7 linked regions of the Xenopus tropicalis genome follow. The protein of the gene in region 6 purifies or fractionates together with the protein of the main gene of each other region. This does not show direct contact. Links are inferred from orthologs where the notes say so. Each region holds a gene or a part of one and is shown on either strand. Other genes may lie near its edges. The genes, in order: exosc3, exosc6, zfc3h1, exosc5, exosc4, mphosph6 and exosc8.

What was found.
Region 1: the proteins of mphosph6 (region 6) and exosc3 purify together in Homo sapiens (affinity purification with mass spectrometry; 6 studies listed by BioGRID and IntAct, counting the BioPlex papers as one, with this or other methods). This does not show direct contact. The link is inferred for Xenopus tropicalis from reciprocal best matches to the Homo sapiens genes MPHOSPH6 and EXOSC3.
Region 2: the proteins of mphosph6 (region 6) and exosc6 purify together in Homo sapiens (affinity purification with mass spectrometry; 3 studies listed by BioGRID and IntAct, with this or other methods). This does not show direct contact. The link is inferred for Xenopus tropicalis from reciprocal best matches to the Homo sapiens genes MPHOSPH6 and EXOSC6.
Region 3: the proteins of mphosph6 (region 6) and zfc3h1 purify together in Homo sapiens (affinity purification with mass spectrometry; 3 studies listed by BioGRID and IntAct, with this or other methods). This does not show direct contact. The link is inferred for Xenopus tropicalis from reciprocal best matches to the Homo sapiens genes MPHOSPH6 and ZFC3H1.
Region 4: the proteins of mphosph6 (region 6) and exosc5 purify together in Homo sapiens (affinity purification with mass spectrometry; 6 studies listed by BioGRID and IntAct, with this or other methods). This does not show direct contact. The link is inferred for Xenopus tropicalis from reciprocal best matches to the Homo sapiens genes MPHOSPH6 and EXOSC5.
Region 5: the proteins of mphosph6 (region 6) and exosc4 purify together in Homo sapiens (affinity purification with mass spectrometry; 7 studies listed by BioGRID and IntAct, with this or other methods). This does not show direct contact. The link is inferred for Xenopus tropicalis from reciprocal best matches to the Homo sapiens genes MPHOSPH6 and EXOSC4.
Region 7: the proteins of mphosph6 (region 6) and exosc8 purify together in Homo sapiens (affinity purification with mass spectrometry; 4 studies listed by BioGRID and IntAct, counting the BioPlex papers as one, with this or other methods). This does not show direct contact. The link is inferred for Xenopus tropicalis from reciprocal best matches to the Homo sapiens genes MPHOSPH6 and EXOSC8.

The regions. Positions count from the first base shown.
Region 1 is NC_030677.2:113,707,627-113,712,249, reverse strand, and holds the start of exosc3 (exosome complex component RRP40), read left to right. Parts: upstream 1-1,611; 5' UTR 1,612-1,703; coding exon 1,704-1,946; intron 1,947-4,623. UniProt on the Homo sapiens protein: Non-catalytic component of the RNA exosome complex which has 3'->5' exoribonuclease activity and participates in a multitude of cellular RNA processing and degradation events.
Region 2 is NC_030680.2:74,926,269-74,930,837, forward strand, and holds exosc6 (exosome complex component MTR3), read left to right. Parts: upstream 1-1,574; 5' UTR 1,575-1,597; coding exon 1,598-2,248; intron 2,249-3,754; coding exon 3,755-3,916; 3' UTR 3,917-4,441; downstream 4,442-4,569. Other genes in the region: aars1 (alanine--tRNA ligase, cytoplasmic), read right to left, coding at 1,414-1,498. UniProt on the Homo sapiens protein: Non-catalytic component of the RNA exosome complex which has 3'->5' exoribonuclease activity and participates in a multitude of cellular RNA processing and degradation events.
Region 3 is NC_030679.2:59,900,060-59,903,356, reverse strand, and holds the end of zfc3h1 (zinc finger C3H1 domain-containing protein), read left to right. Parts: intron 1-512; coding exon 513-614; intron 615-923; coding exon 924-963; intron 964-1,445; coding exon 1,446-1,508; intron 1,509-1,627; coding exon 1,628-1,756; 3' UTR 1,757-2,587; downstream 2,588-3,297. UniProt on the Homo sapiens protein: Subunit of the trimeric poly(A) tail exosome targeting (PAXT) complex, a complex that directs a subset of long and polyadenylated poly(A) RNAs for exosomal degradation. The RNA exosome is fundamental for the degradation of RNA in eukaryotic nuclei.
Region 4 is NC_030684.2:79,502,013-79,506,545, reverse strand, and holds the start of exosc5 (exosome complex component RRP46), read left to right. Parts: upstream 1-1,538; 5' UTR 1,539-1,568; coding exon 1,569-1,656; intron 1,657-4,382; coding exon 4,383-4,496; intron 4,497-4,533. Other genes in the region: bckdha (2-oxoisovalerate dehydrogenase subunit alpha, mitochondrial), read right to left, coding at 1,271-1,342. UniProt on the Homo sapiens protein: Non-catalytic component of the RNA exosome complex which has 3'->5' exoribonuclease activity and participates in a multitude of cellular RNA processing and degradation events.
Region 5 is NC_030682.2:151,308,814-151,313,482, forward strand, and holds the start of exosc4 (exosome complex component RRP41), read right to left. Parts: upstream 2,979-4,669; 5' UTR 2,975-2,978; coding exon 2,804-2,974; intron 1,218-2,803; coding exon 1,011-1,217; intron 275-1,010; coding exon 1-274. Other genes in the region: E3 ubiquitin-protein ligase TRIM7, read left to right, coding at 4,663-4,669. UniProt on the Homo sapiens protein: Non-catalytic component of the RNA exosome complex which has 3'->5' exoribonuclease activity and participates in a multitude of cellular RNA processing and degradation events.
Region 6 is NC_030680.2:63,902,122-63,906,339, forward strand, and holds the end of mphosph6 (M-phase phosphoprotein 6), read left to right. Parts: intron 1-141; coding exon 142-232; intron 233-560; coding exon 561-658; intron 659-2,442; coding exon 2,443-2,584; 3' UTR 2,585-3,597; downstream 3,598-4,218. UniProt on the Homo sapiens protein: RNA-binding protein that associates with the RNA exosome complex. Involved in the 3'-processing of the 7S pre-RNA to the mature 5.8S rRNA and play a role in recruiting the RNA exosome complex to pre-rRNA; this function may include C1D.
Region 7 is NC_030678.2:151,674,832-151,678,857, forward strand, and holds the end of exosc8 (exosome complex component RRP43), read right to left. Parts: intron 3,128-4,026; coding exon 3,007-3,127; intron 2,213-3,006; coding exon 2,106-2,212; intron 782-2,105; coding exon 666-781; 3' UTR 570-665; downstream 1-569. Other genes in the region: supt20h (transcription factor SPT20 homolog), read left to right, coding at 153-284. UniProt on the Homo sapiens protein: Non-catalytic component of the RNA exosome complex which has 3'->5' exoribonuclease activity and participates in a multitude of cellular RNA processing and degradation events.

The sequences.
Region 1 (4,623 bases), on a different chromosome or scaffold from region 6:
ATATTCGATGCATTTGAGTGCAGGCAGAGTTAGGGGGATTTTTAAGCAGATGTAGCGTATTTTTGGCAAGTGGTTTTCAGCTTGCTGAAAAAAAACGCTAGATACACTATGGGGCCTATTTATTAAAGTACGACAGGTACGAATTACAAAAAATTTGTATTTGATTGTACTGTGCGTATTTTCTGCGACTTTTTGGTACTTTGCGACAAAATTTGTGCGACAAAATTGTATTGTTGCGCCGAGTACGAACTTTTCGGATTCACTCAAGCTTTGGTATCGTGACGTTCCTTGGGCCAGGTTGGAACTGCAGAGTGCCATTGAGCCCTATGGGAGACTTTCCTTGGGCCAGGTTGGAGCTGCAGAGTGCCATTGAGCCCTATGGGAGACGTTCCTTGGGCCAGGTTGGAGCTGCAGAGTGCCATTGAGCCCTATGGGAGACTTTCCTTGGGCCAGGTTGGAGCTGCAGAGTGCCATTGAGCCCTATGGGAGACTTTCCTTGGGCCAGGTTGGAGCTGCAGAGTGCCATTGAGCCCTATGGGAGACTTTCCTTGGGCCAGGTTGGAGCTGCAGAGTGCCATTGAGCCCTATGGGAGACTTTCCTTGGGCCAGGTTGGAGCTGCAGAGTGCCGTTGAGTCCTATTGGAGGCTTCCAAAATCATGCACAGAAGGATCAATGTCAGAAAGGTTTTCCTGCTGTTTACGATCGTTCAGATACGAAAATTGTGACTTTCGGATCGCCAATAAGATATTATCGTGACTAATACGATTTTTTTGTAAGCATGTTTGTGATATTTGCTGTCATCAGAAATTATTGTATTTAATCCAAATTTTTCTCAATTTGGAATTTGAACTTGTACTTTGATGAATAATGCAGGGGATTTCAGCCTGAATTTGAGGTAAACAGATAAGGACCTGCCAGGATCTATAGCAGTGGTCCCCAACCAGTGGCTTGGGGGCAACATGTTGCTCACCACCCCTTTTGATGTTCAGTGACCTCAAAGTAGGTGCCTATTTTTAAATTTCTGGCTTGGAGGCATGATTTGAAAGCACAGAAACACATTTTACTCCAAGCAGAGCCTCCTACAGGCCAGCAGTTTACATGTGGCTACCAAACAGCCAATCACAGCCCTTATTTGGCATCCCCAAAGAGCTTTTTTTGCGCTTGTGTTGCTCACTAGTAAAAAAGGTTGGGGGGCCCTGATCTATAGGGAGCTCCAATAAACGAGGCACTTTTAAAGATAGTATGAATTTTATAATTGCACATAATTTTGGGAAGAGGTGGCAGACAAAAAAACTTGCCCATAATTTCTGATGGCAGCATTGCCTTTCCATACAAATATGTCACCCAACAGGCAATTTCTAACACTGTAAGTGGGTTGAAGTCACTATTTATTGCATAAGAAGACAATGACTAGATCAGCACAGACTGCAAGTCACTTTCCTAAATACTATTGGGCCAGGTTAGAAAAATAAATACTGGCAGCGATTTGGGAAAAGAAAACACAAAAAGAGAACACTGCCGCCATCTAGCGATCAGCCAGAACACTGCACTATACGGAACAAAAGAATTGAATTGAGTAGAATTGAATCGCTTTTCGAACCCTTGCCCAGCTCTCCAGTACTTGCTTCCTTGCAAATCTATTGGTGTATTACCGTCACGTGCTAAGTGTAGTAGGCAGACGCACTTCCGCTCTGATAGCAGCATGTCAGCCGTGAGTATTGAAGATGCGGTCGGTCAGATCGTTCTGCCTGGGGATGTGCTTGTTCTTTCTACCCAGTCCCGGGATGCTCCTCTGTCTCTGAGCGGCCCCTCTACATCTAACAGGCCCCGGGTTGTGTGTGGCCCCGGGCTCATGCGGCAGGAGGATGATCTGCTAGTGAATAAGTGTGGGCTCCTGCGGCACAGGGACCCGGCAATCTACTGGGTTGATTCTCAGCAAAAGCGGGTAATGGTCTCTTTCTGTGTGTTGGGAACGCCTGGTCTCGGTGCTAGGGCACAATTATACTTGCTTTTTTCCTAGTACTTTTATGTGCAGCACATTACTCACCTATGAAGCACCTATAAAATCCAACTCCTAATGCAATTTGGTTATTAAATGGTCATTTATCCTTTGTTTTCCTGCAGTATTAACTGGTGGGCAGCGTTCATTTACTAAAGGGATCACCAACTTTTTTTTTACCCTTTTGAACAGAAAATATGGGCTGCGATTAACTATTTGGCCGCCTATAGGAGGCTTCATTTGTGTTTTATGCAACTTAAGCCAGAAATTCAAGACTGCCCACTGGGAGAAACATCCAAGGGGTTGATGAGCAACATGTTCGGGAGCCACTGGTTGGCGATCACTGATTTAACATAAGCTTTGCGGTCTTGACATAACTTTAAAGGAGAAGGAAAAGCTAAGTCACTTGGGGGTGCCAAAATGTTAGGCACCCCCAAGTGACTTTAATCGCTTTTACCCCGGGCTGGTGCCCCTGTACGGAGAGAACAGCACCAGCCTGGGGTAGCTGCAGCGCTTCCTCCTTCGCGTGCGCATGCGCAGTAGAGTGAAAAGCCGAACTGAAGGCGGCTTTTTCACTCTACTGCGCATGCGCCGGACTCGGAGTCGCAGCTTAACGAAGCCGAAAGGAGGAAGCGCATCGCCCCAGGTGCCCTGGCCTGGTGCTGTTTTCTCCTAACAGGGGCACCAGCCCGGCGTACGAGGTAATCGATTCAAGTCACTTGGGGGTGCTTAAAATTTTAGCAACCCCAAGTGACTTAGCCTTTCCTTCTTCTTTAAGCGAGAAAAGAGGGCTTTAATGCTAGATTACCAAAAGGACTGCATCAATGATAGTATACCTATTCAACATGCAACATGATTCTCAAGCTTACTTGATGCCTATGAGCAGGCCTGGACTGGCAATCTGTGGATTCTGGCAAATGCCAGAGGGGCTACCGTAAAATGCCATAGACATTCACTATTTATTGGGCTGGTGTGGGGACTGTTTAGCCTCTGTGTACTTGAAATGCCATGGCCTTTTTTAATCTGTCAGGGTCTGCCCAAGGGCCCCTTACGCAGGACTTTAGGCTGCTGAATTAGACTGGGGTGGGCAAGTCACCAGCTTTATCAACCCATGTATAACTAGCTTAAGCCTCAGAAAAACAAAATACTGCCACATGGATGAATCTGCCAAACAAGGGTCACCTTTGTTTACATGTTATTGTTTTTTGAGGCTTAAAGGGGACCTGTCATCCAGACATAAAAAGCTGTATAATAAAAGTCCTTTTCCAATTAAACATAAAACCCAAATTCTGTTTTTTATTAACATATCCATGCCCTAATATTATAAAGGCATTTAAAAATCCCAGCTGTCAATCATGTATTGCCTGCCCCGCCTCTATGCCTTAGGCATAGAGGCGGGGCAGACAATAACTTTCCATTTAGCACTTCCTAGATTTCGCTGCTTTTTTTACTTTTCCCCTCCCAGGCATCTGGTCCTACGTTCTATCACAGTGCTGTCCAACTGGCGGCCCGCGACCCCCCTCTGTGTGGCCCCCCACCTGTCTGGCTGCTTTGATGGCTTACTCTTGTGTAAGATTTAAATGGTATCAGTACTGAGATTAACTGGCCCCCTGCATGGTTCTCACGTCATATTCAGGCTGTAATCCCTCTGTATTGTTTAAACATGTAATCCCCTGTGTTGTTCACACCTTTTAGTCCCTGCATTGTTCACCCCCTGCAGTGTTCACACCTCAGGCTGTAATCACCCCCATTGTTCCCCTGTTCACACCTCAAACTGTAGGAGCAGTAGAAACCCACAAATAATCCCTGCACACTACAAAAAGAACATATACTGAGGTGGTACTGCAAATAATTTTTTTTTTTAATATATAGTTATTGTGCAGACTGTAGGAGCAGTGACAGAATTGTGTCACTGTATGCTGCCTGTGTGTGCGCCATACAGCATAGGGCAAGCAGAGTATGGCACACACAGGCAGCATAGGGCAGCAGAGTATGGCACACACAGGCAGCATAGGGTAGGCAGAGTATGGCACACACACACAGGCAGGGTAGGGCAGGCAGAGTATGGCACACACAGGCCAAGTATGGCACAAACCAGCCAAGAATGGCACACACAGTCAAAGTATAGAACACGCAGGCTGGGTAGGGAAGGCAGAATATGGCACACACAGGCAGGGTAGGGAAGGCAGAGTATGGCACACACAGGCAGGGTAGGGAAGGCAGAGTATGGCAGGTTTTTGCTGTACTACAACCATTAATATGGGTATGGTCATGTGATAACACGGGTGTGGTTTCAAGTGGGTGCGGTTTCAAAAAGGGGAGTGGTCAAAACTGGCTTCCATTATCGGCCCTCCACCACGTAGGTCGGAAAAATTCCGGCCCTCGGTAGCACCGAAGTTGGACAGCACTGTTCTATCACATAAACACACTGCTTGCTGCGATTCTGTAATTCCAAGACTGTAGTGTAAGTCAAGTTTATTTTGCTCAACTAATTTGGAATTATTTCTTAGGGTGATAGCTCCCCTTTAAGGTGGCCATACACATTCAGATTTTAGTCTTCCTCTAACGAACGTTCGGATATCGATTGTTTAAATGCGACAATCTAAAACTAAGATTTAAATTA
Region 2 (4,569 bases), about 11 Mb from region 6:
ACATAGTGCCCCCCCATACACAGTGCCCCCCATACACAGTAGCCCTCCTTACACAGAGCCCCCCCATACACAGTGCCCCCCATACACAGTGCCCCCCATACACAGTAGCCCTCCTTACACAGTGCCCCCCCCATACACAGTAGCCCTCCTTACACAGTAGCCTTCCTTACACAGAGCCCCCCATTCACAGAGCCCCCCATACACAGTGCCCCTCCAATTTTTTGACCACGCCCACTTTGTGGCCACACCCCATTTTTAAAATATTTAAAATAGTGCCCACGATGGCCCAATAGACAGCACCCCCATACACAGTGCCCCCCATACACAGTAGCCCTCCTTACACAGTGTCCCCCCATACACAGTAGCCCTCCTTACACAGTGTCCCCCCATACACAGTAGCCCTCCTTACACAGAGCCACCCCATACACAGAGCCCCCCATACACAGTGCCCCCCCATACACAGAGCCCCCCCATACACAGAGCCCCCCATACACAGTGCCCCCCATACACAGAGCCCCCCGATACACAGAGCCCCCCATACACAGTGCCCCCCCATACACAGTGCCCCCCCATACACAGTGCCCCCCCATACACAGTAGCCCTCCTTACACAGTGTCCCCCCATACAATGCCCCCCCCATACACAGAGCCCCCCAATTGCCCCCATAGTGAGTACCTCCAAAAGAAAATGCCCCCATACATAGCGGCCCCCATAGACTTCTTGGGCTCCTGCTCCTTATTCGGCTCCTCGTACAGCGGAGACAGGACCTTTTATAAGGTTGCGCCCGTGCATACGTGTGACGTCACACGTACGCACGGGCGCAACCTTATAAAAGGACCTGTCGCCACCGTACGAGGAGCCGAATAAGGAGCAGGAGCCCAAGAAGAGACGGAGCCGGAGCGATCCGCTGCAGCCAGCAGCAGGGTATGTAATAGAAACACATATATCAGAAACATAAATTATTTTATGCACATAAATACAACTGATTTGGAAAGTCCCATGTCTCCTGAACGTGCCAATACCAAATATATATAGTTTTATGGAGATTTCTCACTTGTATAGGTCAAAAACTCCCAGCAGTACACTACCATATTTCCAAAGCACTGCTCCAGAAAGCTGCACACATTAAGGCCAAAAATTCCACTAACAGAAGGTTTACCCTAGAAACCTATGCATTTCTGGAAAGAACAGATTCTGGCGAATCCAGAATAAGTAAAACTGTCTGTCTACTCCAAACTATTAAGTTGCAATGCTTTCCTAAATTTATAATTTTTTTCTAAAAATTTGTGACATTTTTTGAAAAATTGCTTCAAATCTTCCATTCTATAGCATCATATCTACTGCTAGGTCATAAGGTAACCAGATAAAACACCCTAAATATGAAAGTCAGGGGTGCATTGAACAGTTTCATACCCAATAGTAGATCACAGGGTGACAAAGTGTCTGGGCACCCCTGTGCTAGTAAAGGCCCGTTCCAGGCACAGAGGATAAAATTCATCGAGTGGCCACTGTGCGGCGGTGTTTCGGCGCATTAGGCCTGTCCGTGCTCACGGTGGGAGGAAACACGTTGTAGGATAGTATCACCCAGTGCATAGCCATGCCGGGAGACAGCCGCCGTATTCGTGGCCCCGAAGAGTCGCAGTCCCCTTTGCTCTATGTACTGAGTGAAGAAGGAGGAAAAGCCGCAGGGAGAAGGGGCCGCGGTCCGTCAGAGCCCCGGCCGGTGTTTGTCAGGGCCGGCCTCCTGAGCCAGGCTAAAGGCTCCGCGTACCTGGAGGCCGGGAGTGGCGGCACTAAAGTGCTGTGCGCAGTTCATGGGCCGCGGGAGCGCGGGATGGGAGGGGAGAGAGCAGAGACCCGGGGCCGCCTGCTCTGTGACCTGCGCTGGGCTCCCTTCTCCCGCCGCGGACCCTGGTCTGGCTCTTGCCCCGCTGGGCCCTCTCCCCGCCAGGCCGGGCTGCAACTACAGGAAAGTCTGGAACCGGCCGTGCGATTGGATCGCTACCCCCGAGCGGAGGTGATAGTGTGGGTCCTAGTGCTGGAGGATCGCGGCTCTGCGCTGCCTGCGGCCGTGTCTTGTGCCTCGCTGGCTTTGGCCGATGCTGGGATAGAGATGTTTGACCTGGCGCTCGGATGTGGGCTAAGCCGCGGCCCCGGTGGGGAGCTTCTGCTGGATCCGGATGATGATGAAGAGGAGGCTGGGAGTGGGGGCACCATGAGCCTGAGCCTCTTGCCAACCCTTAATCAGGTCAGCGGCCTGTGTGCCACTTCTGGTGTAGGGGCAGATAGGGGCTTAGTGCTTGGGCATGTGGGGGTTACTGTGGGACACACCAGCTCTGCACTCCTTGCTTTCCCTCATCCTACTAGTACAGCTATTAACCCCTAACAAATTGAAAGTATATTAGCTCAGAGCCCCATTCACGCTTTATACTTATTCTTTGTTTTCTTTAGTTTACATGATACATCTATTAAGATTCCACCATCTGTCTACATTGTGCCTTCTCTCTTCAGCAGCTCCTTCACATTTGCCTCTCCAGAAAACTTCTGGCAACTTAGGAAAACTGATGCAGCAAATTTGCCAACCCACTGGGGATTCACATTCTTGCTGGTGGCAAGGCATTTCGAGAAGATTAGTCTCACTCGATTGCAAAGATGTATCACAGGCGACTAATCTTCCCACGTGCCAGTGCCCTAGGGCAATGCTATACTAAGCAATTACCTCCATCAAGATTTGCTGCTCATTGGGTGGGTGCCATGCCATTGATCTGAGAGGGCTGTTATCCGTACCTTTCTGGTCAGGCTCCATTGCAGCTCATAGGCTGCTGTTCAACAATATCATTATATATAAAGTGTAAAACTGCTGGTATGTAAACTAAAGAGAATTTAAAAATAGTGTACATTGAAAAAGTGCATAGAAGAGTCGTAGCCACTGCTGTTCGCCTTGCAGCCTGTAGAGCAGTGGGTTAATGGCACAGTGTAGCCTAACCTGTCAGCCTAAATTGAATGAAACTGTTACATAGTGACTTAAAAAAAATAGACTTTGGGAGCATTAGAGAAATCTGGATCCATGTACGCTAATATGAAGCAGCTCTTGGAATCACGTATTTGCGCTGGTGATGATGGTCTTTCCAGTGTAACGATTTTAGATTGCTTATAATATACATTGTTTTAATATTGGGCTTTGGACTTAGTGTTCAGCTTCTCAAAGCAGCTAAACATTCTGCCAAATAGACATTTTCCTGCCAGGCATTAAAATGGGAGAAAAAATTCAAACTGCTGGGAATCTCTGGGTGTTACTAGGTTTTGGCATTATTTGAGAAATGTTATTGGGTAACTTAAGGTGGAAAAGAAAGTTGACACAGAAAAGAGTATAGCTCTGCCAGTGCTTTGCCGCCATGTTATGAAAGGCTCCCATGGACCACTGTGTGAGACTGGGGACTTAAAGAACATTACAGTGCTGGCAGAAATAGTGTGTTATGTGTTGAAAAGGAACTCCAGCCTGGGGTTTAAGATTAGTAATTGTAATGAGTGGGGGCATAACATTCCCAATGACATCATTTTTATTTTCCATTAAATAGCCAACAAATGGTATAGGACATAATGCAAAGGAGGTTTTTTTGCTGAAAACAATTTCATGTAATATCTTATTGCTGTACTATATGCACATTTTCAGCAAGGGGGCTAATATTTAGTTTTGCTTACAAATCTACAGGAATGAACTCCTAATGACAGTCATGTTTTCTTGTACCCACAGGTTTCTGGACTTATTAGCAGTGGAGAGTGGGAAGGCGAGAGCTCGGAGGAAGCGGTTAGACTCTGCATGGAAGGCTGCCAGAGATTGTACCCAGTTTTGCACCAGTGCCTAGTGAAAGCCACTAAAAGGAAAATACCAGTGCCACAGCCTGACACAAACTGATCCTCGTAGCTTTGGGTGCAGCTCTCCTTTCTAAGGCAAACTAATAGTGCTGCAAAGCAGGCAATGTCTACTTTCTGCTCTATAGTGGATCGGGACCACCCGAAGACAAAGCCACCATCGCTGGCTGATCAAATGTATTGTTGAAGTGTTATATTCTGTATATGGTCAGCTGAAAATTATAGCTCTGTATTCATGTTGAATGTGAAAGGCGTATAGTATCTATACAGAACTTGTTTGCCAGTCAATCTGCTTTAACAGCTGCTCTCTAAAGACAGAAATAACACTGATTTCAGTTTACTATGGCATTTAGAATATCCCTTTACTGGGAACTTACTGTACCAGCTACTGTCACTTATTTCCTTAAAAGGGAATCTCCACCTGGTTTCTGTTTAAAACTCCATTTTCATGGGGCAAAATTATTTTCTATAGACAGCCTTAGGCTTTTTTCCCTGCTGTAGATGATCATAGGCGTTTTTTTTAAAAACAAACTATGCACTTGGCATTACCATAAAACATTAAAGGCTTCTATATGAAATCTGGTTTGTTTTAGTTTTTACACATTGTGATGGAAAGGAACACTACATAAAACTTCTGGTTTTGTTTATAGGGACACTATATAACACCGAAAATAACCTTCCATCAGAATTGAAATC
Region 3 (3,297 bases), on a different chromosome or scaffold from region 6:
TTGAAAAAAGGGGGCAGGGTATGAATGTATAAAGATGCATAAAGATAAACTGAGAGATCATAGATTAATTTAATATAATTCATGGTATGTAATAAGTCCCACAGTTGCAGTCTTTTTACATTTCACATATTGACAGAATTAATGTAATTCTTTCTGCAAATTCAAGGCGTTGGATTTTGGATTTGTCAGCATAATTTTACTTGGTACAGGAGAGTATATATTGCTGGTTTAGCTTTATGGTATCTTTCTTCTCTGGTTATAGTTCATTCTTTGTGGGCGCTAGCCCTAACTTACAGATCAGTACTTAACTTTGCGTTGCAATTTCAGTTATTCCGTTTACATAGCTACCATAAGCGGAACATATTTACCTGAACTGTATAAATAATTCTGTATCTTTATCACCATTAATTTATTCTAGATTCTGTTTTCCTTTTTGGCAAGTAGGCCAACTTATTAAGTGTGTTCAGTGCTATAATATTTTTGGCACAACCAATTGTCATTTACCTTTTCAGGGTACTAAAACAAGAATTGGAGGAGAACAATAATGAGAATGTGAAAATGCAATCCAAGATGTTTACATATAATTTCCCAATGTGCCTGCCCATCTGGAAAATGTAATGTACAAATTCCTTGTTTTGTTGTTCTTCATTAACTATTTAGCATGCAGGTAATGATCTCTAAACTGTTTGTGTGGGAAGAGTGCAAGTATGTATCATGCTGTTGATTTCTGAATGTTTCTCAGACAGTGGGGCAATTGCCTAACATCTTCAAGAATAACGGGAAAGTCTATTCATACAGTTTTATGGTTACCCTTCTGCTATGTTTTCCTTCCCAGCAGTTAATTTACAAAATGAAATGTCATTAAAGAAATGCTCAGACACTCGCACAAACCCCTTGATGTGTTTATTTTCTTTTATTAATAGAGCCATTGCTGTGGAAACTTTTCTAAAAGAACCCAAAGAGGTGAGATGATTTGTTTCTGCATCCTAAAGAAGCAGCTTGCCTGTTTCAGGACTTTGAAGTAGATGACAATCACTTTGTCTTAATCTACTTGGAGAATATGAAAACTCAGGGTACTGCCTAGCAAGGAGGCAAGACTCATGGACTAACCATTGACAATAGGATATGATCAAGGCTAAAAGTGAATTCTCCTTGATCTCATGATATTTTCTCACTCTGGCGTTAACAAGTCTGTGCTACAAGCTATTCACCTGTATGTTTTACTTTTAAATTGCTTTGGCACCCTAACAATTACTGGGGGAAAAAGGTTTTGACACCCTAAATTGATTAAGCTATAAACTCATATAAACAAAAAAACTATGTTGCTTTATAATCATTTTAAAAGTCCATCACCCCATAGTATATATTCATTAGATCTAAGTGTGTGTGTGGGTATATATATATATATATATATATATATCTCTGAAATGCACTATATTTTACAGGTCCACCATCTCTATCAAAGAGCCCTGCAGAAGATGCCTCTATGTGCTGCCCTATGGAAAGATGTAATGTCTTTGCTTGTTCTTTGTTTTTGGTTATGGGGGGGAGGTTCTTTGCCATGTCCAATAATGAGGTGAATTTCAAATTAAGTGTTAATAATATATTGCATCCCCCTCTTTTTCAGCAACTCTTGTTTGAAGCATCAGGAGGAGGTAAAACAGATAACCTGAGAAAACTAGTTTCCAAGTGCCAAGAGGTTGGAGTCAGCCTAGATGAGCTCTTAAATATAAACACAGAAAGCAGGAGTCGCTGAACAATGTGCAGTCAGGCCAAAGTCTTATTTTTAAATGCCAGATTGATAAGGATTAGCATCCCAAGTGTTTGCAAGGCAGTACTGCCACGGCTCAAGGGTGTTATGGTAACCCAGAATATAGATACTGCCATGTTCAAACTGGAGAAATGAATTCGGCCTGCTTCTGGGCCCAACAAGATTCTTTGCATCATATACGTAAGTATAGTTCATCAGTGACTGCTGTTTTATTGTTTCTGTCTGTGTTTATTCTCCTCCCTACCCCATCCATTTATTTTGAAAAAACCCCTTTTGTTGTGCTGTTCCTAACTTGCTTGACTCTCTCTCACTGATGCCTGTGAGACCCCTGTGTCTGGTGTAAATTACAGAGCCTGCTGTTTACACTACAAGAGCAATCAGTCTCTCATTCAAAATGATTCAGAATTTGGTCAGTTCACATTTTAAAAACAACAAGGGCGGGATATTAAACATACATTACTATCATTGTAGATAAAGTAAAGAGCAGCAGGTCGGAAGCGAAACCTCTCTGCTAAGGCCGTCCGTCTGCTAATTGCACTTGAGGGTTGTTTTTTTCCCCATCCCTATTTATTTTATTTTGTTTCACATTTCTACATTTTGGACTCAGCTGAGACTGTTAAACTTGAAGATATTGCAAATGCTAGTGCATCAGAACTGAAGAGTGGTCAATTACAATGTGCAATTATTTTCTTTGTCAAGTTTAATTTATAATAAAGTTTAACAGTTTAAAGTACAGTATATAATGAAAATGTTTTGTATTATAATACTACCGTGTGTAGTATTAAAACTGTTTATACAATATTTTAAATATAACTACTTAAAAAAAAAAAAAAAAGTTGTGGTGCGTGGTTTTTTTTGTGTTTACATATAAGGTGTGGTTAATTCATAGGCATGTGACACTTCTGCACTAATCCTTTTAGTTTTATACCAGCTCATTCCAGTCTCTGCTTTGAAATTCATGGTCATGTGATGTTTGTGTGATGTTATGCTGTAAAAGTCAAAACCAAAGATATGGAGTATTCTTGGCTTTTGACTAAAAGAACATGGCTTGAAGTACATGACTGAATACAAATAGACCCCAATATATAGCCGGCCAAATACCCAGCAAGTAAATAACCATACCTGTGGGTATTTTACTCCTCTTACTTGAATACGTTACTAATGTATTTATGATTTTAATAGGGTGGATCATGATTGTAATAGTTGATGATAGAAATTTACAGTATGTCTGGTAAAAAAAAAATGGTTGCAAGTTGCTTTAATATTAAATGCAATAAACTGTGGAGGAAAAAGCAAACAGTCTAAGGCAGTGCTGTCCAGCTTCTGTGGTTCAGAGGGCTAGAATTTTTCTGGCCTACATGGTGGAGGGCCGATAATGGAAGCCAGACTTGACCACTCCTGTTTTTTTTTTGTTTTTTTTTTAAACTGCACCCGCTTCAGACCACACCCATGTTATCACAAGAGCTTTAAAGACCATACCCACATTAATGGGGTGGTAGCACAGCAAAAACCCAAATGGTTGGTGC
Region 4 (4,533 bases), on a different chromosome or scaffold from region 6:
TACTCCTCCATTTGACACCTAGTATTAAGGATAAAACCTTTTATTTGGCCTTTATTTCAAGTGTCATCCTTCCGGTTTACATATTTCTGTCCTTTAACCCTTTCAATGCTGTCCAAAACAGAATCTATGGCACATTAGCTGTTAAATCAGACAAATACTAGGCATATCCTAATTAAACTGTAGTAATAGTTATTTAATATGCAAGAATAAGTAATAATTAAAACCATCTAGTTTTGCTCCAGACCACGGGGCTCTTCAAGAGGTTATGTTCCCCTACAGGCCAAAGTGCTCCTCTGATTTCTGTCCATGACATTATCATTGTATTATAATCCAGCTCCAAAATGTATGGTATAGTGCTGGGGGAGGGGGTTCCATATTTTTTTTTCCCACCAGAGCATCACACATCTTTAATGCGTAACACCTTGGTCTTGCCCGTTAAATCACATAACTAAAAGCACAATTTAGGCTACAAGTATCTGCAAATAATTATGTTTTCTAAAAACATTTTACACTGCACCATGAAAAAAAAGTTAGAACACCTTGAAAATATATATTCTTTCCCGTATGCAAAAACACAGAGAATCCAATACAGTGTAAGCAATAACTGTGGTACAGTACAGAACTAGGAATATTACTAGAATGTTGCTTCTATAATACTCCAACCTATAATATTCCAGTCCCAGAACTGCTGATCAAAAGCACAGGCAATTTTATACAAATACTTATATATAGATATGTACAGGGCTGTGTATACAAGTAGCACTATACAAATATATACCTGGAAATATGTGTGTGCATTTTGGGAGTATGTATACAAACATATTCTTCCTATTTATATAGCTGAAACAATGTTGTCACCAGCTGGTTTATGGACAGACAATCAACCAACCTGTTATTTAAGGCTAAAGCATATAAATGTATATACTATATAAGCTGTAAATTCAAATGTAAATTTGACTCCTTACAAATCTAGTCAGCAATATCACATATTTTTACATAATTCTGAACTGTAACTATAACCCACGTTTATTATAGCATATAACTTTTAAAACACATCTCCCAATTCAAACAGTTCTTGTAGTTCCCATGTATATACGTCAGACAGGCATACTAGTATTTTAGATGCGATGTACCTTATGGTACAAGATGTGTATACTTCTCAGTATACAAGACCAGGGTCTCGCATTTAGAAATAAAACATTTAAACTCCCCTTCCATCTGATTATCGTCTGTTTCACTCACACCAACGCGACCCCTGTACTCCTCTCACCTGTCTCCCACCGGCGCCTCTCCACCCTCCTGCCACAGTCCGGACCCTTAGAAGTGCCCTCAGCGCCGCCATCTTGCTTCGGAATGCTATCCCACTGCCTACATTTCTCTTAGGACCCCTATTCAACAGCTTGTCAAAAATAACCTCTGAAGTGAGAAATTGCGAGAATTGCGTATTTCCTATTATTCCCTGGGAAAAAAGGCTTTGGCATTGTTGTGTATAATTATACAGGCAAGTGTGGCGGTTGCCAGACCCCAAGGACCCCGGAAGTGTTTGCACATGTGGAAAGAAGGTTCTGATGGAGGCTGTAGGTTCTGTATTGCGGGAATACGGGTGTGAGCAGAGTTTGCTGAGCCGTCCCGATGGATCCGCTACGTTTCTTCAGGGTTAGTTTTGGCGCGCCTATAATTCCTCAAATCTTATGTGGAATACGAGGATATCAAGGGATACATATTGAAGGGAAGCGTAAAATGTTTTGCGGCTAAATCATTGGATGGAAATTGAATTGTAAATCCAGTGGCCGTTATTCTCATTTAATGGAACAGCTCTTCCATGTTGTCATAATGCAGAGGACAGCAATGGGGAATGTATGTGTTGTATTTGTCTAAAGTAGGTGGTTGCTGAACTGCAAACTTGTAAATTAAGCAATTTTCCAATATAGGATAATAAAAAATGTTCATGATTTTAAAATTGATACAATTGTTACTGAGAAAAAAGTTTCAGCCTGTTTATTGCAACTCTCTCCTGGTTTCCCCAGCTACTCTTAAAGGAACAGTAACATCAAAAAATGAAAGTGTTTTAAAGTAATTAAAATATAATGTGCTGTTGCTCTGCAAAAAACTGGTGTTTTTGCTACAGAAAAGCTACAATATAAATAAGCTGCTGTGTAGCCACGGGGGCAGCCATTCAAGCTGGAAAAAAGGAGAAAAGGCACAGGTTACGTAGCCGATAACTAGTAGATAAGCCCCATATAATGGGGGTTTATCTGTTATCTGTTAAGTAACCTGTGCCTTTTCTCCTTTGAATGGCTGCCCCCATAGCTACACAGCAGCTAACTTATATAAACTATAGTAGTCTTTCTGAGGCAAACACACCAGTTGTAGCAATATAGGGCAACAGTACATTATATTGTAATTACTTTTATACACTTTCATTTTTTGGTGTTACTGTTCCTTTAACTACTCCAAATCTCACAATGCCTTGCTTGTTCTGCCATTATCAGCTGCAAAGTAAAATAAAAGAATAGTACAAGGCAAATTTGTAGGAACTGAGGTGGTGGTGAGGAGAGACATTTTTTATTTAATTATTTCTATAGTCTGGTAGCAAATAATAGCAAAGGCAGACAAACTGCTCTTGGAATTTTATTTAGAAATTACTTAAAAAAAAACATTTAACATGTTTAATTCCTGCATATTATAACACTGCTTAAAATTACAATTCATTTGTACAAATACATATATATTTATTTAGGAAAAGGTCCTTTAAAATATTGGACACCAAATTGAATTGGGGACAGACTGACCATACTCTTACTCTAGAGCTATAAACGGTCATGTACAGCACTGTGATTATGATACCTGTGTGTACGCATTTAAATAAACCAAAATATAGGGAATATACACCATATTAAAAAATATAAGGGTATTGGAAGTCTCCTTAGAGTGCCATGACCATATACAGGCACAGAACCAAAGGCCAAGTGGTTTAATACAGGTCATTGAACTCTGAGGTGGCTTCTAATATCCACATATTTTACAACAGAGGAGGTTTTAGTCAGTAAATTATACAAATTACATCACTGATCAATGTTGGTAAAGAAAATCTTGTGTATTATAGCTATAGGGGCTTGTAGTTTTGGGCTCCTAGGCTCTGCACCATATTCAATTTTAGAATAAAGATTAGAAATGAGTTTCAACAAAAAATGTGAGCTATCCTTACAAAGTAGCAATCCAGTACCATGTTTAGGTGGTTTATAGCATTTTGACCAGTTAATAATTTTTAATGCAGTATAATTTTTAATGCAGTTCTCCAGTCACACAAAAATAGATTAATTCGGAAAAAAGAAACTAAAGGGTGTAAGCACATTGACCTAGATATCAAGCAGGTATATCATGGTGGCTTAGAATTCACACCAAACTCTCTGCAACTCTGTTCTACCAAGCTGCATTGATCAAGACCTATCACTTTATCCACCTTGTGTACAGTTTTACTCACCACCTTTTTATACCTATCACCATTTGAAAACTCGAAAGAGGGACACAATTAACTGCCATGCTCCTCCCGCCATTTGAAAACTACAAAGAGGGACACAGTTAACTGCCATGGTATGACTGCACCCACATTTTACCACACCCAAAATACCATGATCATAAAATTAAAACTAAAACCAAAAAAAAAAATCCAGACATGCCAGTAAAATCACTGCATAAATAACCAGAGAAGCCTCCATTAACTAAAGACATGACCATAAGATCACTGCATAAAATGGGTAGATTGAATGCATTGCCTCACTTAAGTTGCACAAGCAGCAAATCACAAACTTGTTCTTTTCTAGTACCCCCATGGTGCTTGTCATTTTGCCTTTGCCTGAAAAGGCAATTTTTCCATTTCCACAGTGGAACTTACGGCCATCTGTGATTATGATTGGCTGTGTTTGAGCCCCTGCTGAGATTGCTTTAAAGAAGAAAGAAAGGTAAAAACTCATAATTCAGGTTCGTTTATATATCACACAGGCAGTAATCTGGCTACTGTAGTTTTATGTGACTAAAGCTGACATACATGCACCGATGCACCTAGTTTCATACGATATTCACTGTGTGTATGGTGGATCGACGAGGTGAACATCACAAAAGCTTCGGATATGTCGCCTCGTGGAACGGGCGGGACAGAAGACTTTTATACGAGCAAAATCTGTGTTTAGGGCTTAATTGTCAGGTGGAGGTAGAATCCTTATTGTTTCTACCTCCATATCTGACAATTCAACTCTGAATGCCAGTGGAGGGTGGGAACGATCTTTCCTGAGACAAATGGTTGCAGGAAAGATTGTAATTGTAAGGTGTATGGCCACCTTAAGGCTAACTGTTCAACTGATTTCCATGTTGCTTTCCTGTAGGCGACACATCTGTAATGGCTGGAGTATATGGCCCTGCAGAGATCAAGGTCAGCAGAGAAATCCATAATAAAGCCACATTAGAGGTGATCCTCAGGCCCAAGACTGGGTTGCCTGGTAGGTGCTTCCATCAGAGACATGTTCTGTTTTTCTG
Region 5 (4,669 bases), on a different chromosome or scaffold from region 6:
TCGCGGCATCCATCACCCGCTCCAGGTGATCCTCGTGCAGCCGCGAGTTCATCTCCAGCAGCGCAATCTGATCCGACTTGGGGAGGAGGGCCAGGGCGAGTTGGGGCCCTCCGGCGGCTTCTTCCACGTAGCTGAGATCCGCGAGGGGCGTGTCCTCGATGAAGCCCGCCGAGCTGGCGCACACGTAGTCGCGCATGGGAATGCCGGCGTCGATCACGGCCAGGGTGGCGGCATTCACACATGTGCAGTAGTTGCCCCCGTCTGCTTGCAGGATCTGGGCAGGGAGAGTCATGTGATCATATCCAGCGCAGCACAACACGGGAGCCAGTATGGCAGCACCAAGATACCACATACATGCACCACTGAGATATCCCCACATAGTGACTCCCAGGAACTACTCTTGGTGGCCAGGGGGATGCTGGGAATTTTAGTACAGCCCAAGGGCCACAGATTGGGGACCACTGACTAAAGGATTTGGGGGGTTCACCTTTAAGTTAACTTTTAGTACGTTATAGAATGGCCAATTCTAAGCAACTTTTCAATTGGTCTTCATTATTTATATTTTTTATAGTTTTTTATCTATTTCCCTTCTTCTTCTGACTCTTTGCAGCTTTCAAATGGGGGTCACTGACCCCGGCAGCCAAACCCTATTGCTCTGTGAGGCTCCAGTTTTATAGTTATTGTTACTTTTTATTCCTTATCTTTCTATTCGGCCCCTCCCCTATTCATATACCAGTCTCTCATTCAAACCACTCCCTGGTCGATAAGGTAATTTGGATCCTAGCAACCAGATAGCTGCTGAACAAGTGAAACAACTAAAAAACTACAAATATAAAAATGAAGACCAATTGCAAATTGCCTCAGAATATCACTCTCATACTAACAGTTTAACTCAAAGGTGAACCTCCCCTTTAAGGTCAATTTAAAGTGAAACAGCCCCTATTTAAGCCCCGCACTATTGTTACAACTTGCCGATGCCCCACCCACTGGCTGATGCCCCTCCCACTCACCTGCACGTAGATATCTATCTGTGAGCGCGGGTACAACTGGGTGAGGATGGCGGCCTCGAACGTCTGCTTTAGGTGCAGGGTCATCTCGCTGGACTTGCGGTCCCCGTGGGGGCGGCGCTTCCTCTCGCCGGTGCTGAAGGTCGCCATACTGTACTGGCAGTTCACCACTGAGCGGTCGTGGAGCATTTTACTGCGAGAGCCGCGGATCTGTGGGCACAGCGTTACGGGCACCGTTACACATGGAACTGGGGTATGGGGGCGGGACTAGCAGTGGGCACAGGCAGCCGTGTGTAGGCAGGGTAAGTATCCCAGCAGCAACCACTTACCCACCCCCATACTGTGCCAACCCCTTACCCACCCACCCCCATACTGTGCCAACCCCTTACCCACCCCCATACTGTGCCAACCCCTTACCCACCCCCATACTGTGCCACCCCTTACCCACCCCCATACTGTGCCAACCCCCCCCATTATCCCACCCCCTACTACTGTGCCACCCCCTTACACCCCCCCCATACTTGCCAACCCCTTACCCACCCCCATACTTGCCTACCCCTTACCCACCCCCATACTTTGCCTACCCCTTACCCACCCCCATACTGTGCCAACCCCTTACCCACCCCCATACTTTGCCTACCCCTTACCCACCCCCATACTGTGCCAACCCCTTACCCACCCCCATACTGTGCCAACCCCTTACCCACCCCATACTGTGCCAACCCCTTACCCACCCCCATACTGTGCCACCCCCTTACCCACCCCCATACCCACCCACCCCCATACTGTGCCACCCCCTTACCCACCCCCCATACTGTGCCAACCCCTTACCCACCCCCATACTTTGCCTACCCCTTACCCACCCCCATACTTTGCCTACCCCTTACCCACCCCCATACTTTGCCTACCCCTTACCCACCCCCATACTGTGCCAACCCCTTACCCACCCCCATACTGTGCCTACCCCTTACCCACCCCCATACTGTGCCAACCCCTTACCCACCCCCATACTGTGCCAACCCCTTACCCACCCCCATACTGTACCAACCCCTACCCACCCCATACTGTACCAACCCCTTACCCACCCCCATACTGTGCCAACCCCTTACCCACCCACCCCCATACTGTGCCAACCCCTTACCCACCCCCACTGTGCCACCCACTTACCCACCCCCATACTGTGCCAACCCCTTACCCACCCCCATACTGTGCCACCCACTTACCCACCCCCATACTGTGCCAACCCCTTACCCACCCCCATACTGTGCCAACCCCTTACCCACCCCCATACTGTGCCAACCCCTTACCCACCCCCATACTGTGCCACCCCCTTACCCACCCCCATACTGTGCCAACCCCTTACCCACCCCCATACTGTGCCACCCACTTACCCACCCCCATACTGTGCCAACCCCTTACCCACCCCCATACTGTGCCAACCCCTTACCCACCCCCATACTGTGCCAACCCCTTACCCACCCCCATACTGTGCCAACCCCTTACCCACCCCCATACTGTGCCACCCACTTACCCACCCCCATACTGTGCCACCCACTTACCCACCCCCATACTGTGCCACCCACTTACCCACCCCCATACCCACCCACCCCCATACTGTGCCAACCCCTTACCCACCCCCATACTGTGCCAACCCCTTACCCACCCCCATACTGTGCCACCCACTTACCCACCCCCATACTGTGCCACCCACTTACCCACCCAAGTAACCCAGCGGTCTCTCCCCTATAGTAATGCCTCTGAGCCATTCAGCCCGTCCGTGTGGCCCCAGCACTCACCTCATGGGGCCCATATACCACAGCCAGGGCCTTGGTGTTCCCCTGCTCGATATAAGCGGAGCCATCGGCCTGAGCGAACACTCCCATCCTGGCCCGTATCTTGCGCAGCTCCCCGGCTTTCCTGCCATCCACCCGGTAGCCCTGGTCCGACAGCAGCTCCAGCCCCGCCATCCCGCACCACGTTCTCACGGTATAAACTACAACTCCCAGAAACCACCGCGCCGCCACTTTCCGTTCCTCTTTCCGGAAGTGTCTGGGTGCCCGCCTCCACGTCACATAAAGGGGCGGTGCCAAAGTGATAGTTACTTCGTGTAGTAGAATTGCGCTTTTACCTCAGTTCGTTACAAGTGGCGCTAATTCCTATTGCTGGTCCCTATGGCGCTATTGTGCGGCCCAGTTGGGCTCTGAGCCATGTTTCCTATTTCACACTGTTATTTTCCCATGTTACTGAGCAGAAACTGTATATATATATATATTATGTTCCCCTGTCACTGTGCAGCCTACTCACCTATGGGTTTTCCCCATAGTAACCAGGAAAGGAACATTCCACTGAGCATTTACATTTTCCCTTTCACTGTAGATTCATAGTACTGACACTGTTACACAGCAAATAATTCCCTCTGCCATTTAACCTTTTATTCTTCAACCAACAAATGTATTTGTAGCTGTAATATTGGCGTGTAGGCGCCATCTCAGTGCCTTGTGCCTGAGTCTGAGCTTTCAGCCAGCGCTACACATTAGAACTGCTTTCAGCTAACCTATTGTTTCCCCTACTCCCATGTAACTGGGGGAGTCCCAAGCCGGACTTGGATTTCTTACTATTGAGTGCTATTCTGATACCTACTGGGAGCTGCTATCTTGCTCCCTTCCCATTGTTCTGCTGATCGGCTGCTGGGGGTGAGGGGGGGGGATATCACTCCAACTTGCAGCGCAGCAGTAAAGTGTGCCTGAGTCTGAGCTTTCAGCCAGCGCTACACATTAGAACTGCTTCCAGCTAACCTATTGTTTCTCCTACTCCCATGTAACTGGAGGAGTCCCAAGCCGGACTTGGATTTCTTACTATTGAGTGTTATTCTGATACCTACTGGGAGCTGCTATCTTGCTCCCTTCCCATTGTTCTGCTGATCGGCTGCTGGGGGGGAGGGGGGGATATCACTCCAACTTGCAGCGCAGCAGTAAAGTGTGCCTGAGTCTGAGCTTTCAGCCAGCGCTACCCATTAGAACTGCTTTCAGCTAACCTATTGTTTCTCCTACTCCCATGTAACTGGAGGAGTCCCAAGCCGGACTTGGATTTCTTACTATTGAGTGCTATTCTGATACCTACTGGGAGCTGCTATCTTGCTCCCTTCCCATTGTTCTGCTGATCGGCTGCTGGGGGTGAGGGGGGGGGATATCACTCCAACTTGCAGCGCAGCAGTAAAGTGAAACTGAAGTTTATTAGGGCTCAGGTCACATGGCTGTGGCACCCTGGGAAATGAAGAATATGGCTAGCCCCATGGGAAAAACAGATTACAATGCAGGATTCAGCGGGAGACGCTCTATTAACTGATGGGTTTTGAAAAAACATGTTTTCCCATGACATTATTGCTTTAATAGGAACAGTTCTGGGCTCCATCTGTTTGGGCTACTTTAGAGTCATTGGCTTTAGAGTCCTACATTGCAGATGTTTAGAGCTTGTGAAAGGTGCAGTGGCTACAAGTTGAGTGGGAAGAAGGGGTTAATAAACTGTGTGCTGAGCGCTCAGCTCCTTTCCGTGCCTCTGGCCACGCCTCCTGCCTTGGTGCCTGAGGGATCCAGTAAAACGAGTTTCGATTCTTTGTGACTCGGAGGAACTTTCCATTCTTTCTCCTTGTTCCACGATGGCGG
Region 6 (4,218 bases):
ATACATGATAATATGATATATATGATAATACTGGGTTAGGGAGGCACAGTCCACAAAGACTTTTTTGTACATCAGCCTTCAAAGCCATCAAATTTATTAAAATATAGCATTCCCTAAATATACATTTCCTTTAATTTGCAGGAGTTATATCATTGAAGAAAGGAGTTTTCTGCCATGTGAAGATTTCCTGTATGGCAGAATGTCCTTCAAAGGTTTTAACACTGAGGTTGAGGTTTGTAAATTTTATTAGGTTGAGTTTGTTCCAATTTCTGCTGTTCTTTAGCATCTGTTGTGCATACATAACTTTTTTCTGCCAAGGCTTATACCATACTGTTGGACTGTTCTGATGATTAAAATGGCAGTGCTTTTTAGTTTAGTTTTTGTGAATGTTATGTTTGTTATTCTAAAAAATCAAAAATATCTGCAAACATGCCCATTAACCAGCTCCACCATTATTTACCATTTCAATCGCATATAACAATTTGTAAATATATTCCTAGGAACAATAAAAAACTTTGTACAATAGAACCGATCTATAATGTCTTGCATTACTGTTTTAGAAATTAATGACCCAGCTGAATTCAAGGACAAAGACAGAAGAGATAGTTGAGGAAGGAACAATGGATGTTGATGTGTCTGATGAAGAAATGGCACGAAGGTGAGATCTCTTTTAGTGTTTTGACCTCAAACAAGGGTAGGGAGAGATTTTGCCATGTTGGCTGTAGACCGTTTAAAGGAGACATATCCTATAAAAATTATAAATGTACCAGTGAATTATACTCCTCTAGATATAGAAGGATTGTGCTTTAAAAAGTTGTGTTTCCTGCTGATTTATTGAGAAATTCCACCAAAACCCCACTAGCCCCGCCCCATCTGTTCCACTTCCTGCTAGCTGAATTCTCTGGATGAGCTGGGAAGCCTGTCTGTGCTTGTGTGAGTGCAGGGCTGTGATTGGCTATCCCCCCTCCTACTGTGCTTTTGGCAGGGACTGTTAGGACACGCCCACTCTTCATTTCAAACTCCGATGGAGAAGTTATAGAATCTATAGGGAGCTCCAATAAAGGGGCCATTGTTACAGAGAGGATTAATTTTTAGCCCAAAGGGAAACCAGCACCGTATATTGCCTACAAAATTAGGGTTTTTACCATTTATCCTATATGTCTCCTTTAAGAAGGGGAACTAAGTAACATGGTACAATTACTGGATAACTAATTTAAGTAAACGTTCAGAACAACAGGTCTCCTTAGTACTAAAAAATTGTGCATTTAGGTAAAGGGGTTGTTCACCTTTAAATTAACTGTAAGGAGAATGTAGTAATGATACAAGGCAGTTTGCAGTTGGTCTTTTTGTTTTATTTGTGATTTTTTTTTTTTTTTAAATGTCTTAGCATTTTGTTTAGAAGCTCTCCGGTTTGAAATTTCACCAGCTATTTGGTTGGCAGTGTCCAAATTAACATAGCAAACAGGCAATGGTTTGAATGAGGAACTGGAGTATAAATAGCAGAGGACCTGAACAGAAACTTAACTCATGAAAAGTAACAATAAAATTGTAGCCTTACAGAGCAATAGTGTATTGTTGCTGGGGTCAGTGACCCCCATTTAAAAGCTGGAAAGTCAAAAGAAATGAAATTATTCAAAATATATAAAACATGGGTGCTAAGAATATTGTCCCTTCTGTAATATACTAAAAGTTAACTTTAGGGTCAACTACCCCTAGTAGCTCTGCAATTGACTGACAAAGGGAAAATATTTAGTCTCCCATCAGATTTTTTTATTATACCTCCCCACTCCAAAGTGAAACTTCCAGAAATGGTGCAAAAAATTGCTAAAAGTCATACTTGTTTGTTTTACCCCTAGTTTCCACCTTTATTTGAAATTATCATATCTCTTGAATTATTACAATAATCATTCTTTTTAGGTTAATTTGTAGTTCTGTAGGGAGTGGTAAAGAAGGCAACTCTGTAAGGAATAGTGTATCAACTGTATTGTGAATATAAATGGCTATTCACCTTCTCTAGTTTCAGTGAATGTAGCATAGAAGTCTTTGGATTCACTTTACTGTTATTCATGTGTGAGGGATAATTGTTTTACATTAACACCCTCTGTAGCAAGTATTAGAATGTGTTTGTGTGGTAGCTTCCTTGTAATACTCCCAAACATTTTAGTATGTTAGGCAAAAAGTTGCATTTTTCCAAATCTTAATAGCTAGAAAGTTATAGCAGGTTAAAAATCTGTCCAATAAACATACTTCTAGCCTTGCAGCAGACCTTTATTAAAAGGAGAGTGAACCAAAAAAGCCTGTATCTTTTTACTATTCCTTTACTGTCATTTAGTGCCTTTAATTTTGTCTAAAGCTGGAATTGTATCATCAGTGGGAAGCCTTAACATAAACTACCATGGAGTCCTAATGAGTAAAAGTAATTCTTATTCTACCTATTTTCAGATACGAGTCATTAGTGGGCACCATCAAAAAGAAATTTACGAAAAAAAGGAATCAGAAAGAACTAAAGGAAGAAGGAGAAGATGAAAACTGTAACATTAGAAGCAGCAAAGTACAAAAAGTTTTTCTAAAGCCACAAGATTAAATAGCTACAGGTTTAACTGTCTGGAAAACTTCTGTTTGTTATTGTTATGGAAGACTAGTGGTTTTTCTACCTTTCCACACGATGGATATTTTATATTTCTACCTTCATATCATTCATTTTAAAGTTTTAACAACTTGCTACTTTTGATGGTATACATTTTAGAGACTGCATTCTAAAACATATCAGCCATTGATTATATTAATTATGTGCATAACTATATTTGAGGATAATATGTTTTTGTTTTAAGATCTTTGCATTCATGTAAGGAATTTCTTTTTTTTCCTGTGGTAGTGAAAAGATTCCTTTTATCATTTTAATTCCACCTGTCATAATGAGAAGTCATTTTTTCCACTAGAAAGACAAAAATTGATTTAAAGGCTAGAAAGACTACATAGGTGGAATTAAACTACCCCCAAAAAAGCATCCATTACAGTATGTTTTTTTTTTTTTTTATGGATCTAAGTATCATCTGTTAAATGTTTTAAATGCATCACCCAAGTCCTGAACTGGCACTGTTGTGCACTGCTCAAAGTAAAAAATGAATTGATATAGGCCAGGGTAACTAAATGTTGCATAAATGCACTGGCTGAGGTCTCGAAAAGTTGCTGGTGAAATGCTCTTGTTTCAGTGCTGTAAGAGAGTATGATCTCTGGGTTTTTATTTGAGTGAACATTTTATCCTGTTTATTTTATATTATGATTGCTTACCTTGTTTTATGTTTTATCTGTATTTCTTGTAATTTATGTAAAACAGGAGCAGTTTTTTTTGTTTTGTTTCTTTTTTAAATTTTTTCTTTTGTACCTAATATTCTACAAATTTGTTTCCAAAGTACTTTGATATATATTTAAGCATTGTGCAAGAGGAGAAAGCAATGACATTTCTGCAGTTAGGAATTCAGAAATGTACAGCTTTAGGGCTGACCTTTTTCATTGTTCGGTTGTTTTCTCTAAGTGCTCAGTCATTCATTATGAAAGAAGTGTTTCAATAGCATGTTGTTTAAAAAAAAAAAAAAAGAAATGAACTGTGGTTTTCAGTATTCTCCTATAAAAAAAAAATGACGGTGGAATAAACAAAAAGTGTATTTCTTAATGATAAACATTTTTCCATTTCCTTGAGCTGTATTTTCACGGATACTGCCTGAACATAGACCAGACTGCCTATGGGTCACCAGAAGCCAGGTTTCCCCTTTTGTTCCTTACTGGAGTTTGGCGCAACCCATCTGCTTAGTGCTCCTTAGGTGGTCTGTGTTTTCATACTTCTGTAGCCCTGCAAATACAGGAATTTTGCCACTGGTGCATTATGCAGAAATACACTTTCAGGAACTATATTTTTGATGCAGAAAAACAGGTCTTTATAGCTTTACAAGTGATGTAAATGATATCTGGTCTGTTCAAATATGAATTCATCTCTGCTAATTAAATATATTTTTCTAAAAGAGTCTCGCTTGTGTTTGTTCCTTTAGTCAGATACAAATTTCGGTTACATACACAATGCACCAGTGCTTAATTTTTTTTTTTTTTAAGCAATTCAGTGGAGGTATTCACCCAATACCTTTATATAAACCTCTCCTATTTCAAAATTAGAATATTTAGAAGTTAGATTAAGTAGTGTTTTTTATATATATATATATATAT
Region 7 (4,026 bases), on a different chromosome or scaffold from region 6:
CCTGCATTGGTGTACTGCCTAAATTCCATGCAAACCTGCTTGAGCTACGAGCCTCACTCTCAGTAAGGTGAGCAGTAAAACCCTAGCACGGTGTACAGCTTTAACATATGTTGAAATGGCTTTAACCCTTTGTCTCCACCTTGCATTGACAGTTGCAATTCTTGCATCATCAAATGGCTATGGCAACAGCAGCACAAGCAGCCCAGTTCCCGCCCCTGCCTCATTCCGACAGCCAATCAAGAAGTAAAAGGAGGGGCAGTGCCGGATTTGACGCAAAACCCTGAGCCTTGAACTCCATATCACACCTTTGAGCAGAATTATTAACCGACTATTGCCTTCCAATTACTATTTTTTTAAAACTGTTTTAAATTATTCTTACACGAATACTTGCAAACGAGCTTTGTGAAGAGATGTCTGACTTATATGTGCATTAAAATGGACATACATTATTAGTGGTCTGGGGGCCTTCACAAACCTGGTGGGGGGGGGGGGAAAGATTTTTAACTTGCATCCATGTGAGGAGGAGACTGAGACGCTGCACCCATAGAGACAGAACTGTAGCGAGTAAATGTAGCCATGGTAATGTTTATTTAGTACAAAAGGTGTGCAATCACTGTAACAAATACAACTTTTTACATGGTCATTTTTAAAATGAATATGCCTACTTATTCTGACTTGACACTGGCCAGCGCCTCTTGCAGAAGGTTCGTCACCTCTTTGTGTCTCGTGATGGCTCGACTGATGCACTCCTGGAGCTTCTCTGCTGCAAGGGCACTCCCACCTTTGCGTAAAAAAAAAAAAGTTAATATATTACAGATTAACATGAAAATTCCCCCTTTTTTTAACAAGAATGCATCACTCTTCCCCAAGAGATACACAAACAAAAAAATGGTATTTCTTAAATGTCTGTTTTCACTCAAAAGGTAAGAAACAAAGCTGAAGCACATAGAAATGTAATCTATAGGTCAGGATATGGGTTCCAATGTTTAAGGTGGGCCACGATTACCCCCCCTAATTACAGTCAACTTTCATCTGCAATAGAAAATGGTTAATAAAAAAAAAATGTTACTAAATCAATTTTTGGGACACACAGTTCATCCCTCAAATTTGTGCCCCTTAACAAAACACCCCGGCACCTAGTGAGCAGCCTGATCAAGAAGCTTTACCAAGGGAGAATTGCTGGCTTATGGCCTAACCACTGACCTTCCTATTCACTGCACTGCAGAATATTTCAGTGGGGCAAGCCACAATGATTCCAGGACTTTATTTTTGGTTACAGTGAAACCACAGAACACACAAGGAGCCTTGTTGCACATCCGATAATCTTAGTTCTAAAAGTGTGGGGAAATTAGTCTTATATTTACATTGGAATTGTTTTTATTTCTTGCACTAAACAGGACAAAGACTAAAAGTAAAAAAAGTCACAATTACTTCCTGGTTCTGAAAAGGTAGTTTTAAAAAGCCTTCTTTCTCCTAAGCTGCAGACTAGATTGGCTTTTAAATAGGAGTATCTCATTATACAGAGGCTTCTCAATAGACTAATGATTTGTTTTGACTGTTTGTACAAAACCAGGAAGGAGAATGTGACTTTCAGGTTCAGATTTTGTTCTGTTTAGAGCATAAATAATAACATAGATATTTCTTAATTGAAACAACAGGTAAAAAGTATATTTAGCACTAACATTGCGCTGATGCTGGAAAATGAGCTGTACTGCCCTTTTATAAATTGCATAGGATTAATTCAGATATTGCCTGAAGGCCAAGCTGGGTGAACACTCTTCATTTAGGTTGCATCTGTGGCAAGCTACACTTACAGAGGAAAGGTTAAAGGTTTAATTATCTACCTATCCCTCAAGATTTTTTTTTTCTTGCTGTACTCCAAGGCATCAGGAAAAATATGACTTGCCCAACAAACCATGGGTGTAGTAACAAAAACAAAACAAACAAACAAACACATTCGCTCTTATTAACAAGCATCTCTCTAAGTTCATACAGGGTTTACAATGTATGTCCTGTTTTACATATGGTTGGGAGAGAACTGTCCCAGTGGCATCAGCTGGTTATAAAGCAAAGCAGCCATTGTTCTTCATCGCCTGTAGATGTACCTGGTTTTCGAGTGGCACATAACCTTTCATCTTCATCAGTCACAACAGTGAGTAGTCCGCTGGCCAAGCCCTCCTCTTCCCCTGTGGGATCCACCAGAAGGAATGTGCTAGGAAAGAAAATAACACACTTATATGCGTAATCTGGGACAGTGCAATAGGTTTGGTGATGGAGAGTAAGCATTCCTCACACAAGATCAAACCCTCAGCCTCCGACACCTACCTCTGTGATTAATCGGTCACAAGATGGGACCAGCATACTGTATAGGGAGCCATTATTATATTTTATAGAACTATTTTAAAGTAGAGATCCCCATGAGAATACTAATACACTAGTGATTCTGCTTATCACAAGGCCTGTCCGTAATCAGCTCTGAAGCTGAAGGGACTTGCACCTTTAATGATGTTCCCAGAAGTGAAGGTCCCATTGAAGTGTTATTGTTATTACGTTAAAGTGAATGTAGTGTTCACGTATGCCTATCTTGTCTGTATGGACAAAAACATATAACTGTATACAGAGCTTAAACAAAAAAAAAAAAACAGACCTTTATTGACCTGTTGACATCAAACACAAGGCAATCTGTGGTCACCACAGTTAAAACCCATTTATCCAACCTGTGCCCCAATACTGCTCTGCACGCCCTGTCACTCATGATAACAGGCAGGGTTGGTGGCCCCCATGTCAGGCTGCTTGACTTTCTCCCCCAGGCTTTCTGGCGCCAATGGCTGACCAGGCTTCAACTTCCCCAGTGCCCACCCCCAATCCTCTCACAAGCTTCTGAGCTGGTGTCTCCAGTGAAAACTCATATAAAAAAACGGTAGAGGGTCTCATCACTTACTCAGAACATCACTGCCCTATAGCCCCAAGCCTCACTAGCTTTAGCAAAGGACTTCAAATACTTACTCATCAAATACTGCAAATGATGTTGCAACGGGGTGTTTCAGGATTTTCAGAGCATGTTTTGTTTTCAAATTGACTTCTGCTAAACCAGTCTCCTCGTTTATTTTAACAGATGGCAATCTTACTGCAGAGGGAAACCAATAACATTGGCACAGGCACCATTAGATACTAATAATAGTCAATTTTGTGACATTCAAGAGCAACGTGAGTTCATCAACCGCAAATCCTACTGAAATGTCCATAAATATTTCATAATGCCTATAAACAGGCAAATAATAAAATAACTGCTGACTAAGGACAAACTGTTTTATCCTCCAGAATAAATGGAAAGCTTTCTACAGACCATCTTCTGTGTATAGTGCTTAATAACATTCCATGGGGCCCAGAAGGGACAGGCAGCTCCAATTGTGGGCCTTCGTTGCACAACTGCTGGAATGTATATTCTACCAACAGAACATGTTTGTTCCTAGGTAGGGTGCCTTAAATGAGGCCCAAGCAGAGGCTCCACACAGGGACCTGCAGGGTGGCAGTTGCAAGCAGTGCATAAGAAGAGAAACCCTCGTTTTGCTGTAAATATTTGTATTGACTGCAGCAGTGGGAGAGTATCATAAGGCAAAATACACATTATATTGGCATGGGCTCCAACAACCACTTTTAGCATCCACCAGTAGGCCAAAAGCTGTCATGGGTTGCTTGGGATTATAGTGCAGTGACACCTTGGGAGCTGCAGATTGCATTATAAAGAATGGGATCCTGAACAGCTAGAGCTTGAGACATCCCAGAGACATAAATCGATAGTGGTGGAATTCCACTCTGTGATGCTACAGACTGTGGCGAGTTCAAGCTTCGCTGTTTGATCATTTTGCCTCATGTTTTTTTCCCTATCCACTCCCACCAGAATGGCCTGGTCTAGGAAAGGACACTTTTGATTTCACTTTAGGATGTGCCCTTACATTAATGTGCAATATTTAGCACCACAACATATGTAGCTTGTAGTAAATACACAGTTCACCACATTAAAGG